Macaca mulatta: one gene and its partner. The protein of the gene in region 1 binds, or shares a complex with, the protein of each later gene. Links are inferred from orthologs where the notes say so. Each region holds a gene or a part of one and is shown in the gene's direction. Other genes may lie near its edges. The genes, in order: AP2B1 and LDLRAP1.

Region 1 (6,758 bases):
TATATTTTCCTATTTTCAGTGACGAGTACCACCATTCATCCCTTGCCCAAACCTAAAACATAAGCCTTATCAGTACTAGTGTCAGACTTCCTGGGTTCAAATCTTAATTCTACCTTGTGTGTGTGTGTGTGTGACAGGGTCTTGCTCTGTCATCCAGGCTGGAGTGCAGTGGTACGATCTCAGCTCACTGCAAGCTTCGTCTGGCAGGTTCACGCCATTCTCCTGCCTCAGCCTCCCCAGTAGCTGGGACTACAGTTGCCTGCCACCACACCTGGCTAACTTTTTTGTATTTTTAGTAGAGACGGGGTTTCACCGTGTTAGCCAGCATGGTCTCGATTTCCTGACCTCGTGATCCGCCCGCCTTGGCCTCCCAAAGTGTTGGAATTACAGGCGTGAGCCACCATGCCCGGCCATCTTAATTCTACCTTTTAACTTCTCTGTATCTCTTAAAATAGAGGAAGTAATGGTACCTGCCTGGTTATCAGGTAGGTAGTGAGGATGTAAAAATGTACTTAGCAGAGTAACTGACATAAAATCATACTCAATAAATATCAACAGTTACTTGTTTAAACCACCATCATCATGTGGCTGGATCATTTCAACAGTTTCTTGAGTGATCTCCCATTAGATTATGAGCCCGTGATGGTCCCAAAAGGTGAAAAGAAGGGAGATTGGTCAATACTTTCACCTAAAAGTGGAAGAGAATGAGGTTGGAAAAGCTTTTCGATTGATGCTGTATTTTGAAAATAGCATTGGTTCATTTTTCCTTAAAATATATGCATTTTTCAGAGAAAGGATTGGAAAATAAAACAAATATAAAGAAGATAACATTTGTAATCAGCACCCAGAGAGAACCACTAATAGGTATATATACGCCTCTGGATTTAGAGTTTTGTATCTTTCTTTTATTCTTATCATTTCAAAGCATTTTTCTGTATCATATTTTTCAACAATATGATTTAAAAGGCACATCCCAATCATATAAATAAATACATGTTCATTGTATTTGAAAAGTACAGAAAAATATTAGGAAGAAAAGTAAAACTCTCACTATTCCGCAATAACCACTTTTAACATTGTGCTGAATATCCAAGCTTTTTTTTTTTTTTTTTTTTTTTTTTTGAGACGAGTCTGGTTTTGTTACCCAGGCTGGAGTGCAGTGGCGAGATCTTGGCTCACTGCAACCTCCACCTCCTGGGATCACGTCATTCTCCTGCTTCAGCCTCCTGAGTAGCCGGGATTATAGGCATGTGCCACCACACCAGCTAATTTTTGTTTTTTCAGTAGAGACGGGGTTTCACCACATTGGCCAGGCTGGTCTCAAACTCTTGACCTCAGGTGATCTGCCCACCTCAGTCTCCTAAAGGGCTGGGATTACAGGTGTGAGCCACCATGACTGGCCTATCCTAGCCTTTTTTTTCTATACATATATAGTCATACCATATACTATATTGTTTTGTATCCTATTTTTACTTAACACTTTATGAATTTTCTGTCATAAAATATTCTATAACATTATGCAGCTATCTGATTTACCATAAGTGTTTACATTATCTCTCTTTATACCTGGCTTTCCAATTTCCCCTATTCCTCTATTTTAATAACAGGAAATAATAATACATGAGTATGTTATACAAAATTTTAATGTACTTCTGATCACTTTTTTAAGAATGAAGTTTTAAAATACTTAAACACTTTCTGACTCACAGAGTTCATGGGCAAAATGTGAGAAAAATAAATAATCACTTTGCTCTCCATCCTTCCTTACACCCTGAAATTAACCTTAGGGACAGCTAGTTCATTTAACCTCATCAATCTTGTTCTCCAGTTCCAGGTCCTGGAATCTAGGTCTTAGTTTCCGAAAGAAACTTACTTTTGTGTAAGCACACCTATTATATACTAGGCACTTGACCTAATTTATCTGGTTTACGCTTCACATGCCCGAGAGAGATACTATCATTGTCTTCATTTCACAGATAAGAAGATTGAGGAGACATTAACTTTCCCAGTCACATTCAGGGTAGGGATTCAAACTCACATCCAATGCCTCCTCAACCTCTTTTACCTGCACCACTATCCTCTAGCCCCACTGCCCGTATATAGCCCTGGGTTATATCACCATTGTCCGCTCTTGAGCCTGGAAGGAAAATGAGCTGAGGGGTTTTGTTTTTTCACAAAGGAACAGGATATTTCATCATCTCTGTGTTTACGTTTTTCAGAGAATTTCTGTGCGAGGTAACAAATCCATTGTCAGCGTTTTAAATATATTCCTTTGGAGTAGCCACTTAACATCCTCTGAGGCCCAGATGGGCCAGCTTTGCTGGGACCATGGGAAATGTTTGGGGCTGGAAGGCGACAGAGATTACCGCCTTGCTAGGTCTCCCGCGCACCCCGATGACGTCACGCGGCGAGGTTCTCTGACGTCAGAGTTTCCTGCCCACCATCTTTGTCCCTGGCAAAGTGGGTTTTGCGCAGTGGCTTAGACCTAGAAAAGAATCGTGACGGGCAGGAAACCATTACACCACCACCCGGGCTGTGCTCTCCGGCTCCCGCCGCCACCCCCGCCCTCGACTTCGCCTCCGCCTCCGGTGAGTTCAGGGAGGCTGCCTTTGGGGTGTGTCCCTAATTGACGGGGTGGGGGACGAAAAGAAGGGGAACCCCAGGCTGGGTCGAGGACCGGCGGAAGCGAGGATATCCTAAGAGCGTGACCGTTGAGGATACAGGGAACCGTCGGGTGTGACCAGTGAGAGGAAAAAGGTTGGAGAAAGGGTCTCCACCATGATGACTGTGGTGCGGTGAGGGAATCCTCGGGTGTGGCAGCAAGTAGTTGGGGGCATGAGGGTAAGATGTACTTCGGAATTGGGGGTTTAGGAGGACCAGAGGCCAGGGGTGTGGCTGATAGAGCCTGGAGGCCGTGGGGGGAACCGTCTTTCTTCCCCGCTCGGCGTCGTTCACTAAGAGTCACTAAGAGTCTGAGACGTGTCCAGCAAAAGCGAAAGGGAAAAACCCGTTTGCTCATTGATGGGCGAACGTCGTCTGTCCAGTAACTTGAGGGTAAGAGACAACCTCTTCCCTGCTCCGTAATGGAGGAGCATATCGCTAGAATCTTGACCACTTGGGGAAAGAAGAGGCATTCCTGACTCTTGGAGGAAGAGTAACCTCCAGAATTGACCCGATGTAAGAGAGGGGGAAGCAAATGGGGGTAAATCTTAACCCACCTTTTTTTTTTTTTTTTCTTCTTTTTCTGGGCTCTGCGGGAATGGTCTGGCTTGGGAAAGGCTGTAGATTAAGCTGAAAGTAAAGAAACTGGAACTTACTGTTATTTCCTTATCATTTGAATCCAAATAATTTGTTCATGCTGCTTATTTTCAAGAGCAGTCTTCTGTTGGAGGGGTGGGGTGGGGGGACAGGCTTTCATTGAACTCACGCGGATGCTTCATTAAACGTTTGACTTTTATTTTATTTTATTTTTATATTTTCAGTGACAGGGTCTTACTGTGTTGCCCAGTCTAGTCTAGAACCCCTGGGCTCAAGCGATCCTCCCTATTCGGCCTCCCACAGTGCTGTGATTACAGGCGTGAGCCAGAGCGCCCAGCCAAACTTGACTTTTGAAAAGAAAAAATGTTTTGAAAACCGCCAAAGACTTATCGTAACCATTGTGGTTTAAAAGAAAATGCATTAAACTTACAAAGGCAGAATGACTAAGAAAGAAGGTGGTCTCAATGAGAATCAATTTAAATTATTAATTACCTTCCTTGTATACTTGAATTGCTTAGCCTCAGGGTACACTTACAAAGTAATAATAGAAAGTAGCAGATGAAGGAGGTGCAGCTCTATAAGAAAACGTGTAACACATTCCAGTGATGACTAAGCGTGCTGGTAAGGTGAGAACTGTTTGCAGGTATCTTAACCGTTGAAACTTTCAAGGAAGCAGAAAGGGTGATGTATAATGCAAGCATCCTCACTAAAAGCTGGGTGGTAAAATCAATATAAATCTAATATTCTGACTGTATATGAAGAAACTCAAGTCCAGTTCTTTCATTCTTTCCGTCCTTAAAAGATCCATATTTTGAAGTACTAACTTTTTAGGCACAGGTTTGAACCAAGCTGAGCAAGGAATATATTAAATAGGGCACCTTCTCCTTTCTCTTGTCCTTTCTTTCCTTCCAGGCTTAAGTTTTCCAGAGTTTAATGTTATTTTGGTTAAGAATTAGATGTAAAACTTTTGAACTCCTTTGCTTCTATATAATATTAAGAAGCTACTTTGTAGTCTAAGTAGAAATCACAGGTGATTTTAGCTTTTGTGTCGTAATTTCTTATGAGAAAAATAATACCTGATGATGCTATTGTCTTTGCATTATTACTGAATATTTGATTAGAAATGAATTTGGCACCTCTCACCCTTACAATAAAAGATTACTGGAATGACATTTCTGCTTTATAATTTGGTTAACTTTGTTCTGTTTTTTACTGTGAGCACTGAGCTTTGTAAAATCCAACTTTGTGAAAAGAAGGGTTTAGGGACTTTACGAACTAATTTGGCTTCCCAGAGAGCCATTTGAATTAAGATCCTATTAATTTTTTTTGACCTTATTCTACCCAAGGTATTAATCTTATTTTGCTGCTCAATTTCTCTTTTAGGGAACTGGAGGGAGGTATAGGAGAGGAGGGACTTTGACAACCTATATTTCATAGAAACTAGGTTATGTTAAATCTGGATATGTAATCCTGTGCAGGGAGGCCTACTCCGAAATGCAGTGACATCACACTCTGGTCAGGGCAAGTAAGAGTGATTATGTGCTTTGACTCTGGCAGCTTTGTTGTTTAACAATGGCCTTAGGCCATATCATAAATCCTCAGAACAGCCGTGACTTGTCTGGTTTGATCTGGTAGAAAGGTAGTGTTAGTTCAAATTCCGTCATGGCTTTGCTTATTTCTCTGGCTCTTCTGAAGGAACATTTTCTCCCCCAAAGGAGCAGCTTGATTTTTGAGGCACTTCAGCAAATATTTGAGTTTTTTTGTTTTTTTTTTTCTTGAGCTCTATTTTGTTTACTTTTTCTGTTACTTCTAATGAAGATGTCAGTTTTTGCCATCCTGTATTTTGGAGACTCTGGCTATGTCCATATCTAGCATGTGATTAAATGTGTCTCTCATTATATGAGGTAAGAACTCACTATATGAGAGATACACTTAATCATATATATGTGATTATTTTTTTGAGGTGAAATTCACGTACCATAAAATGAACCAGCTTAAGGCATACAGTTCAGTGGAATTTAGTACACTGACAGTGTTGTGCAACAATCACGTCTTCTATTTGTTTTTATTTAGACGATTTTCATTTTTCTTGGAGTTTCTTTTGGCTTAAGGCAACAACCAGCTTGGCACCATGTTTCTCTGCCAATATGGATAGGGAATATTGTTTACAATAGTGTTGCTTACTACAGTGATATCCCTTCTCTTTAGAGCAGCAGGGACTCTTAATTTAGAATCTATGTTATGGGCTTCTAAAGATACTTGACCCTCCTCTCTTCCCTGAAATTTTGTGGGTGGGTGCATTATTTTCTAGTTAAGATGAAAACACTTAATGCTCACAGTGAACAGGACAGTAATATATTCCTTGACATTGAAATTGTTACAGATAATGAAATATGTGAGCTGTTAAAGGCATGACTTAAGACTTAGGTTAATTTATTGTTTAATAGAATGTAGTGAAAATTCCTGTAAAGAATTTACTCATGCCTGTAATCCGAGCACTTTGGGAGGCCGAGGTTGATGGATCACTTGATGTCAGGAGTTCCAGACGAGCCTGGCTAACAAGGAAAACCCCCTCTCTACTAAAATACAAAAATTAGCCGGGCATGGTAGTGGGTGCCTGTAGTCCCCGCTACTCTGAAGGCTGAGGCAGAAGAAATCGCTTGAACCTGGGAGGCAGAGGTTGCAGTGAGCCCAGATCGAACCACTTCACTGGAGGCTGAGATCGAACCACTGCACTGGAGCCTGGGCCACAGTGAGACTTTGTCTCACAAAAAAAAAAAAAAAAAGATTTTAATGGGTTGGGCACGGTGATCCCAACATATAGTCTCAGCTACTCGGGAGGCTGAGGTGGGAGGATCACTTGAGCCCAGAAGGCGGATGTTGCAGTGAGTCCCAGCTGGGACTACAGGCATGTGCCACCATGCCCGGCTAATTTTTGTATTTTTATTAGAGATGGGGTTTCGCCATGTTCCCCGGGCTGGTCTCGAACTCCTGAGCTCAAACTATCTGCACACCTCGTCCTCCCAAAGTTTTGGGATTACAGGCATGAGCCATCGCGCCTGGCCAAAAAAAATTTAATGCGTGTGTGTATAAGACCCTTTTCAAAGAAATTGGGTGACGAATTCTAAGGAGGTTTTGTTTTAAAATCTTAAACAAGTTTTAAAGGACATAGCATAGCATAGTAAACATCCTAGAAAGATTGTAATGGATTTGAGCTATAGTCCTTCTTTGAGGCTCAAGTAATCATTTCTGTTTATTGGTTTTTCTGTTTGTATATATAAATTCATAGATAACTTCAGATTTATTCCAGGTCTTTTATGTGAAAAATTCCTTTCTTCATTTGCCCACTTCACATTTAGTTTACATTATGAATGGATTAAATGATTATAACATTCTTTGAATTTTTGCTAGAAAGGCATTGTAAAAACATTGCATAAGGCAAGCCTCAGTATAATTTTTAATTATAACAAGTATTAAAGGAGAAATTTCTATATTCTGTA
Region 2 (6,949 bases), on another chromosome or scaffold:
TTTTCCTCCCTGCTCCAGAATGCTCTCTCTACTATTCCAGAATCTAGCTGGCTCGGGATAAGTGAGCCGGGGGGCTCAGCCCTGCGGACCCACCTACCTATTGCCACAGCCCTTTTGCAGAAGGCAGCCTGGTTTGGTGAAAAGTTGGAGAAAGGGAGAAGGGGAGGAAAGGAGGGAGGAAGGATAGGAACACTGACTGTGTTCCAACTCCATTTGGACCCCTTACTAGGCATTTGGGATTCAGAAATGAATCAGAAAAACTTCCTGCTTTTGGAGGGTACAAAGTCTAATGGAGATGAGAAGAGTATAAACAGGCAGCAGCAGTGCTTGCAGTGCTGAAAGTTCAGGATTGTGGGCGCCCACAAAGAGAAACTTAATCCATGGGTGGTAGTCAGGGAAGGCTTCCTGGAGGAGGCAACTTTAAAGGTAGGTTCTCAAGAACAGGATTCAGCCATTCCAACTCCTGTTATTTAGTCCTTACGGATAGCCCCGTGAAATAGGTACAGTTGCCCCTTTTACAGATGAGGCTCAGAAGGGTGAGTTCACAACCACCAAAAGGACAGCTGAGTTCTAACCCCTGGCATTATACTCTACCCCATCGCCTATGGGCCTGAGTCTGATCCCAATCTCTGACTCTCGGAGACTATCAGTGAATGCTTCCCTCCCTGACCTAGGGCTCTCATCTGTTAAGTGGGTCCACCTAAGCAGTGTTGCTGGGGAAGCCAAGGACAGACTGGCTAACAAAGCACTTGGTTTATAAACAGGGGAATGTCAGTGAGGCCACCCTATCCAGCTGGGGACAGCACAGTGCTATGTTTCTCCCGACACAGAGAAGACTGCTGGCTTCTGAGCTGGGAGTAATTACAGAGGCTGAAGTTGGCCTTGCCTGCGGCACCCTCTTCTAAAAGAAGCCAGGCTGTGGCTTGGATGTGTGTGTCCTCCCTCTGGCTACTTTTGGCACAGTTTGAAAGGAAGGCACGGCATCCTAGAGAGTTAGAATAAATCCTTCCAATCCTGGAGTTAGAACATCTGTGCCTGAGCAGTTCTGGGGTTCAGACTGCCCTCCGAATGCTCCTAGGAAGCAGCATGGGGTCAGGGTCAAGGTCATGCAGATTCTTGACCCTGGCAGGTTGGAAGGATCACTAGAGATAGCATTGACTCTCATTCACAGAAAAACAAGACTCAGAGAGGGGAAGGACTTGCCTGAGGTCACACAGCAAGTCAGTGTCAGGGGCACATTCCAGATCATACCATTTCTGAGGCTACCTGGGAAGTTGCAGGGGCATGGGGTGGCCCAGCATGCTCAGGTGGTGCCAGGGAGCAGCCAGGGAGCTACGTGGATGAGTAAAGTAAGGGCAAACTTTTATATACCGACCCTGCGCCTAACAAGGGTCTATACTGCAAGCTTGTCCAACCTGTGGCCCACTGGCCATGTGAGGTCCAGGACGGCTTCGAATGGGGCCCCACACAAATTCGTAAAGGTTCTTAAAACATTATGAGACTTTTTGGGCCGGGTGCGGTGGCTTACAGCCATCCAGCACTTTGGGAGGCTGAGGCAGGCAGATCACTTGAGGTCAGGAGTTCGAGATCAGCCTGGCCAACATGATAAAACTCCATCTCTATTAATAATACAAAAATTAGCCGGGCATGGTGGTGCATGCCTGTAATCCCAGCTACTCGGGAGGCTGAGGCACGAGAACAGCTTGAACCCGGAAGGTAGAGGTTGCAGTGACCCGAGATCGCACCACTGCACTCCAGCCTGGGCGACAGAGTAAAACTGTGTCTCAGGAAAAAAAACCAAAAAAACAAAAAAAACTCATGAGTTTTTTTTTTCTTTTGAGAGATATATGTGTGTATATATATATATATATATATATTTTTTTTTTTAGCTCATGGGCTGTTGTTAGTGTATTTTATGTGTGGCCCAAGACACTTCTTCCAATGTGGCCTAAGGAAGCCAAAAGTCTGGATATCCCTGATTTACAGCCTCCACTCTTTCCTAAGTCTCCCACTGCCCTGGACATCGCATTGTTCTTGTCCCTGAACAAGACCTTTCACCATTGGAGGAGCCCTCAGTCTCCCCATCTGTAAAATGGTCACTGGAAATCTAGGCCGCTGCTCTCAGACCCGCAGGCTCCTACGGGGTGGGGATTGGGGAGAAGGAGGAAAGCGGGGGCGTCTGGGGCTTGCGATTCGCTATCTTCTGGCGCCTTCGGGCGGCCTCAGAAGCTCTTGGGGCCTGGACCCTGGGCCTGGACAGGGACCAGGCGGGGCGAGATCGGCGGTCGGGGGCGGGGCCCGCCTGGGGGCGTGGCCTGTCCTTCCTTGCCCCGCCCCGTCGGACGCCGCGGCGGAGCTCGCGCCGGGAGGGGAGGAGCGCGCAGCCCGCGCGCTGCAGGGCCGGGCGGAAAGTTTTTCCTGACGGAGTTTTGGTGGCGGCAGCGGTGGCGGCGCCGGAGCGGGCCATGGACGCGCTCAAGTCCGCGGGGCGGGCGCTGATCCGGAGCCCCAGCCTGGCCAAGCAGAGCTGGGGGGGCGGCGGCCGGCACCGCAGTGAGTGTGCGCGCGTCGGCCGGGCCGGGCCGGGGTCGGCGCGCGGGGCCTCCGCCGGCGCCCGGAGTGCGGCCAAGTTGGGCAGAGGCGGGGCCTGACCGGCGCTCAGGTCCCGGCGTGGCCCTTTCCCGGCCCTGCGGGGCAGGGGGTCGGCCGGGGTCAAGTTGCGCACCTACTCCCCGGCCGCTCGGTGCCGCTGCGAGGAGGGGCAGCGCTGAGGAAGGAGCCCGAGCTCGAGGTCCCCAGGTGCAGCCGGCATGGGGTGGGGTGCAGGTTGGGAGAAGAGGTCCCCGCCACCCGCGGCACCTCCCGCCCTGCTGTCCTGGCCAGCTAGGGGGAGGCAGGCCCTGGTCGTCGGTGCCTGAGGGAGGAGGAAAGGGCGCAGGAGCTTGGAAAGACGCCCCCGTCCCGCACCCCTGCGCCCCAGCCAGCGGCTGCGGCGGGCGGGAGCCCACTGGCCCGTTCTCCCGCCCCCTGTCCGACCCACCGGGCCAACTTTTGACTCCGGGTGTCCAGACACCCACCCAGGTGTGAGCCCGGGGTCGCAGGTACGTACTTGAAATTGGGAGAGAGGCCCCGCCTGGGGTGCCTCGGGAGAGCCCTACATGAGGCGGTCTAGACCCCTGCGTCCCTTCCTCTAGTCGGGTCCAGGTGACGAGCCTGGCGTCCCAACTATTTTTGAAACCTGTTTTCTCTCGCACCTTTCCCTTCGGGCTTCTAAAGTCCCTTGGGCGCCCAGGCCAACGGCAGACTCGCTGTCACCTCTCCCTGGAGCGTCTGGGAGGCTGGGAGGGGCCTCCCCGTGGCTTCTTTCTCTCCCTGTCTCTGGTTACGCTCAAGGAACTTGTCACCTGGCACCTTCCCCTGAAGCCAGAAGACCAGCCCAGCGCAGGTCGCAGGTCTCGTTGTTTGGGAGGGAGAAGAGAGTGGCTTGCCTGGGGTCACACAGACCTTCCTGCCGGTTTTGGAGCCAGAACCCAGGACTGCTGCACACTCCCACCTCCCTGCCAGCCACTTCGGGCCACAGCCTCTCCCCTCATCAGGAAACAACTGACAGTACAGCACCCCCTCACCCCATTCCCTCTTGGCCTTACAGGGCTCCACCAGGGGAGCCCGAGCTCCCTGGTCCCAGGAATGCCAGCGTGTCTGGGCCTAGAGGGCCCGCCTTGCTCCTCCTCTGGCCCCACTCTGTTGTTCAGCTGTGGCCGCCTCCCAACTGAGACTGGCATTGGCATTGGGAATGTGGGGTGGTGCCTGCTGGTGGGGGGTGGTGTCAGAGACCCATTAGGGCTGGGCCAGTGGGCCAGGGGATGCACCGTTTATCACACTGATTGCCTCCCAAAATAGACCCTTTAAAAACTGGCAAGATTTGACCAGAACTTCTGAGAATGGCCATCTGTTCCAGCGGGAGAATCCTGCGGTTTTCTCCAGGAATGAGGGCGGGAGTGTGGCAGGGCAGCCCCCGGGGAAGTGGTTTTGAAGGAAGGGGGGCTGGCAAGAGAAGGGAGGCTAGAAAGAAACATCTCTGAATCTGGGGACGCAGAAGAGGTAGCCACTTTGGATGGTGGAAGAGAATTTCTCTTTTTTTTTTTTTTTTTTTTTTTTTTTTTTTTTTGAGACGGAGTCTCACGCTGTTGCCCAGGCTGGAGTGCAGTGGCGCGATCTCGGCTCACTGCAAGCTCCGCCTCCTGGGTTCACGCCATTCTCCTGCCTCAGCCTCCTGAGTAGGACTACAGGCGCCCGCCACCGCGTCCGGCTAATTTTTTGTATTATTAGTAGAGACGGGGTTTCACTGTGGTCTCGATCTCCTGACCTTGTGATCCGCCCGCCTGGGCCTCCCGAAGTGCTGGGATTACAGGCTTGAGCCACCGCGCCCGGCCGAGAATTTCTCTTGCCATCTTCAATCTTGGGCAAGTCACTTGTCCTTTCTGATGCTTGGTTTCCTCATCTGCAACATGGGGATAAAAACTCTTACCTGGCAGGAGTATCAAGGAGATTATTGGTAATAATGCTCCCTCCTAACTGGTGGCTTTCTTCTGCCCTGCTCCTCTTCCCCCTGCCTATCCTTGGGACGCCGCCAGCATGATTAGTACTGGGGTGAGATGGGTTTTGGGGGCCCAGAGCTCGTCTGCACCTTTGGAGGAAAGGAGAGGAGCACCTCTCTCCCTCCTCCAGGCCCCAGTAAGCCCAGAGTGCTGTCCTGGAGCCTCTGGACCTGAAGGAGGGCGGGCCGAGCCCCACCTGTCCCTCGTGATGAGGTCTCAATTTCCTCACCTGTAAATTGCAAATAACAGTAGTACCTGCCTCCAACTGTTTGTGGGGATCAAATGAAATTGCGTTTGCCTGGCATAGAGGAAGACTTTGGTAAATGGTAACTACTTTTTTTGTAACTGTTTTACAACGTGTTTTTGCTTCCATTCTCTCATTGACTCCTGTGAGGTGACAGAGCAGGCCCATTTTAGAGACAAAGGAACTGAGATTCTGAGCATTGGAGTCATTGGCCCCAGACACAGAACGTCTAAGAGGCAGAGCTCCACATTCCTAGCGCAGAGGTCTTGGTGGATTCTGCCATGGGAGGAGCTGGGAGCAGTCCTCACCCACCCCAGGTTGGGCTGGCAGCCTCTGACAGCAGTGGCCACAGGTTAGAGCAGGGGCCATGGGGTATGTGGGGGTGGGGGTGCTAGGGTCACCTTGCTCAGGGTTGTGACCCATCCGGGCCTTGGACCTGGTCCCTGTGGTTGAGTTTTGAGGCCAAACTGAAGCCAGTGGAGTTAAAGTTAGACTCGAACGCTGCTCTCAGTTGTGACCTGTTCCTCCCCGTCAAGGTCCCCACTAGGATTAGCATGAGCATTGCTTATTTGTGGAGAAACAAGCCCAGAGAAGGGCAGCACCTTGCCGGAGGGGAGGACTCCTGGGGATGGGACATCTTCATTCCCCAGTCTGCACCGGCCTCAGCATCTCCAGCAGGTAGAGCGGCAGGTGCTGGCAGTCAGCACAACATGGAAGTGGTATGCAGAGGGGATAAGGGCGGCCATTGACAGCACCAGGGAAGGTCCCTGTGAGAAGGTGACTCAGTACACACCGGTGAATCCCAGGAGGGAGGAGTCTGGGAAGAGCGTTCCAGCCAGAGGGAACAGCAAGTGCAGGGAATGGTGAACTGGAGCCTAAGACTCTGCTTCTCACGGGCCTGGGGGCTGTGTGAGGGGCATGTGGCTTGAAGGAGTCAGAGGTCACCCACTGCCCACTGAGGGTCAGATACTCTTTTTGAGCAGCCCTACAGAGCTCTGCCTGATCCCACCAAGGGGCTTGGGCTGCAGGAGGCAGGTGTGGACTGGAGTCCCAGTGCTGTCGATAGTGAGCCATGGTCAGACTCCTCTGGGCTTCTCTATCTGTGAAATGGGAACACTGATCTATCCTGGACTCTTCTTTCAGTATGAGAATGGCCATGGACATGTTAAAGCTCTTTGCATTTGACCATTGGTAATGACAGTAGTTCACACTTGTGATACTTGGTATGTACCAGACAGGGTTCTAAGCTCACCTCAGGTGTGAACTCAATTCATCCTCAAAACAATCCCATGGATGGATACTCTTTTTTTTTTTTTTCTTTTAAGAGGGAGTCTCCCTCTGTTGCCCAGGCTGGAGTGCAGCCTTGGGATCTTGGCTTAGTGCAACCTCCACCTCCTTGGTTCAAGTGATTCTCCTGCCTCAGCCTCCCAAGGAGCTGGGATTATAGGTGCCCGCCACCATGCGCAGCTAATTTTTTTGTATTTTTAGTAGAGACGGTGTTTCACCATGTTGGCCAGGCTGTTTTGAACTCCTGACCTCAAGTGATCCACCTGCTTCAGCCTCCCAAGTGCTAGGATTACACGTGAGCCACCACGTCTGCGGTGGATACTCCTATTGTCCCTGTTATTTATTTATTTATTTATTTATTTATTTATTTATTTATTTATTTTTGAGACGGAGTCTTGCTCTGTTGCCCAGGCTGGAGTGCAGTGGCCGGATCTCAGCTCACTGCAAGCTTCGGCTCCTGGGTTTACGCCATTTTCCTGCCTCAGCCTCTCAAGTAGCTGGGACTACAGGCGCCCGCCACCTCGCCCGGCTGGTTTTTTGTGTTTTTTTAGTAGAGATGGGGTTTCACCGTGTTAGCCAGGATGGTCTCGATCTCCTGACCTCGTGATCCGCCCATCTCGGCCTCCCAAAGTGCTGGGATTACAGGCTTGAGCCACCGCGCCCGGCCCCCTGTTATTTATTTATTTATTTGAGACAGGGTCTCACTCTGTTGCCCATCCTGGAATGCAGTGATGTGGTCATAGCTTACTGCAGCCTCGACCTCCTGGGCTCAGGGGATCCTCCTGGGTAGCTAGGACTACAGGTGCACAACTGCCATGCC

Evidence for each region.
Region 2: the proteins of AP2B1 (region 1) and LDLRAP1 are in contact, whole or in part, in a crystal structure (PDB 2G30), measured with the Homo sapiens proteins. The link is inferred for Macaca mulatta from reciprocal best matches to the Homo sapiens genes AP2B1 and LDLRAP1. Residues at the interface, in NP_001273.1 of Homo sapiens: Arg834, Gln835, Phe837, Leu838, Trp841, Glu849, Gln851, Ile876, Ala877, Arg879, Val881, Glu882, Gln884, Met886, Tyr888, Glu902, Arg904, Ser915; in NP_056442.2 of Homo sapiens: Asp253, Leu255, Asp256, Ala258, Phe259, Ser260, Leu262, Ala263, Gln264, Arg266, Thr267.

The regions. Positions count from the first base shown.
Region 1 is NC_133421.1:45,056,912-45,063,669, forward strand, and holds the start of AP2B1 (AP-2 complex subunit beta), read left to right. Parts: upstream 1-2,481; 5' UTR 2,482-2,841; intron 2,842-6,758. UniProt on the Homo sapiens protein: Component of the adaptor protein complex 2 (AP-2). Adaptor protein complexes function in protein transport via transport vesicles in different membrane traffic pathways.
Region 2 is NC_133406.1:215,485,510-215,492,458, reverse strand, and holds the start of LDLRAP1 (low density lipoprotein receptor adapter protein 1), read left to right. Parts: upstream 1-2,374; 5' UTR 2,375-2,465; coding exon 2,466-2,553; exon of another isoform or gene 2,554-3,101; intron 3,102-4,992; exon of another isoform or gene 4,993-5,194; intron 5,195-6,949. UniProt on the Homo sapiens protein: Adapter protein (clathrin-associated sorting protein (CLASP)) required for efficient endocytosis of the LDL receptor (LDLR) in polarized cells such as hepatocytes and lymphocytes, but not in non-polarized cells (fibroblasts).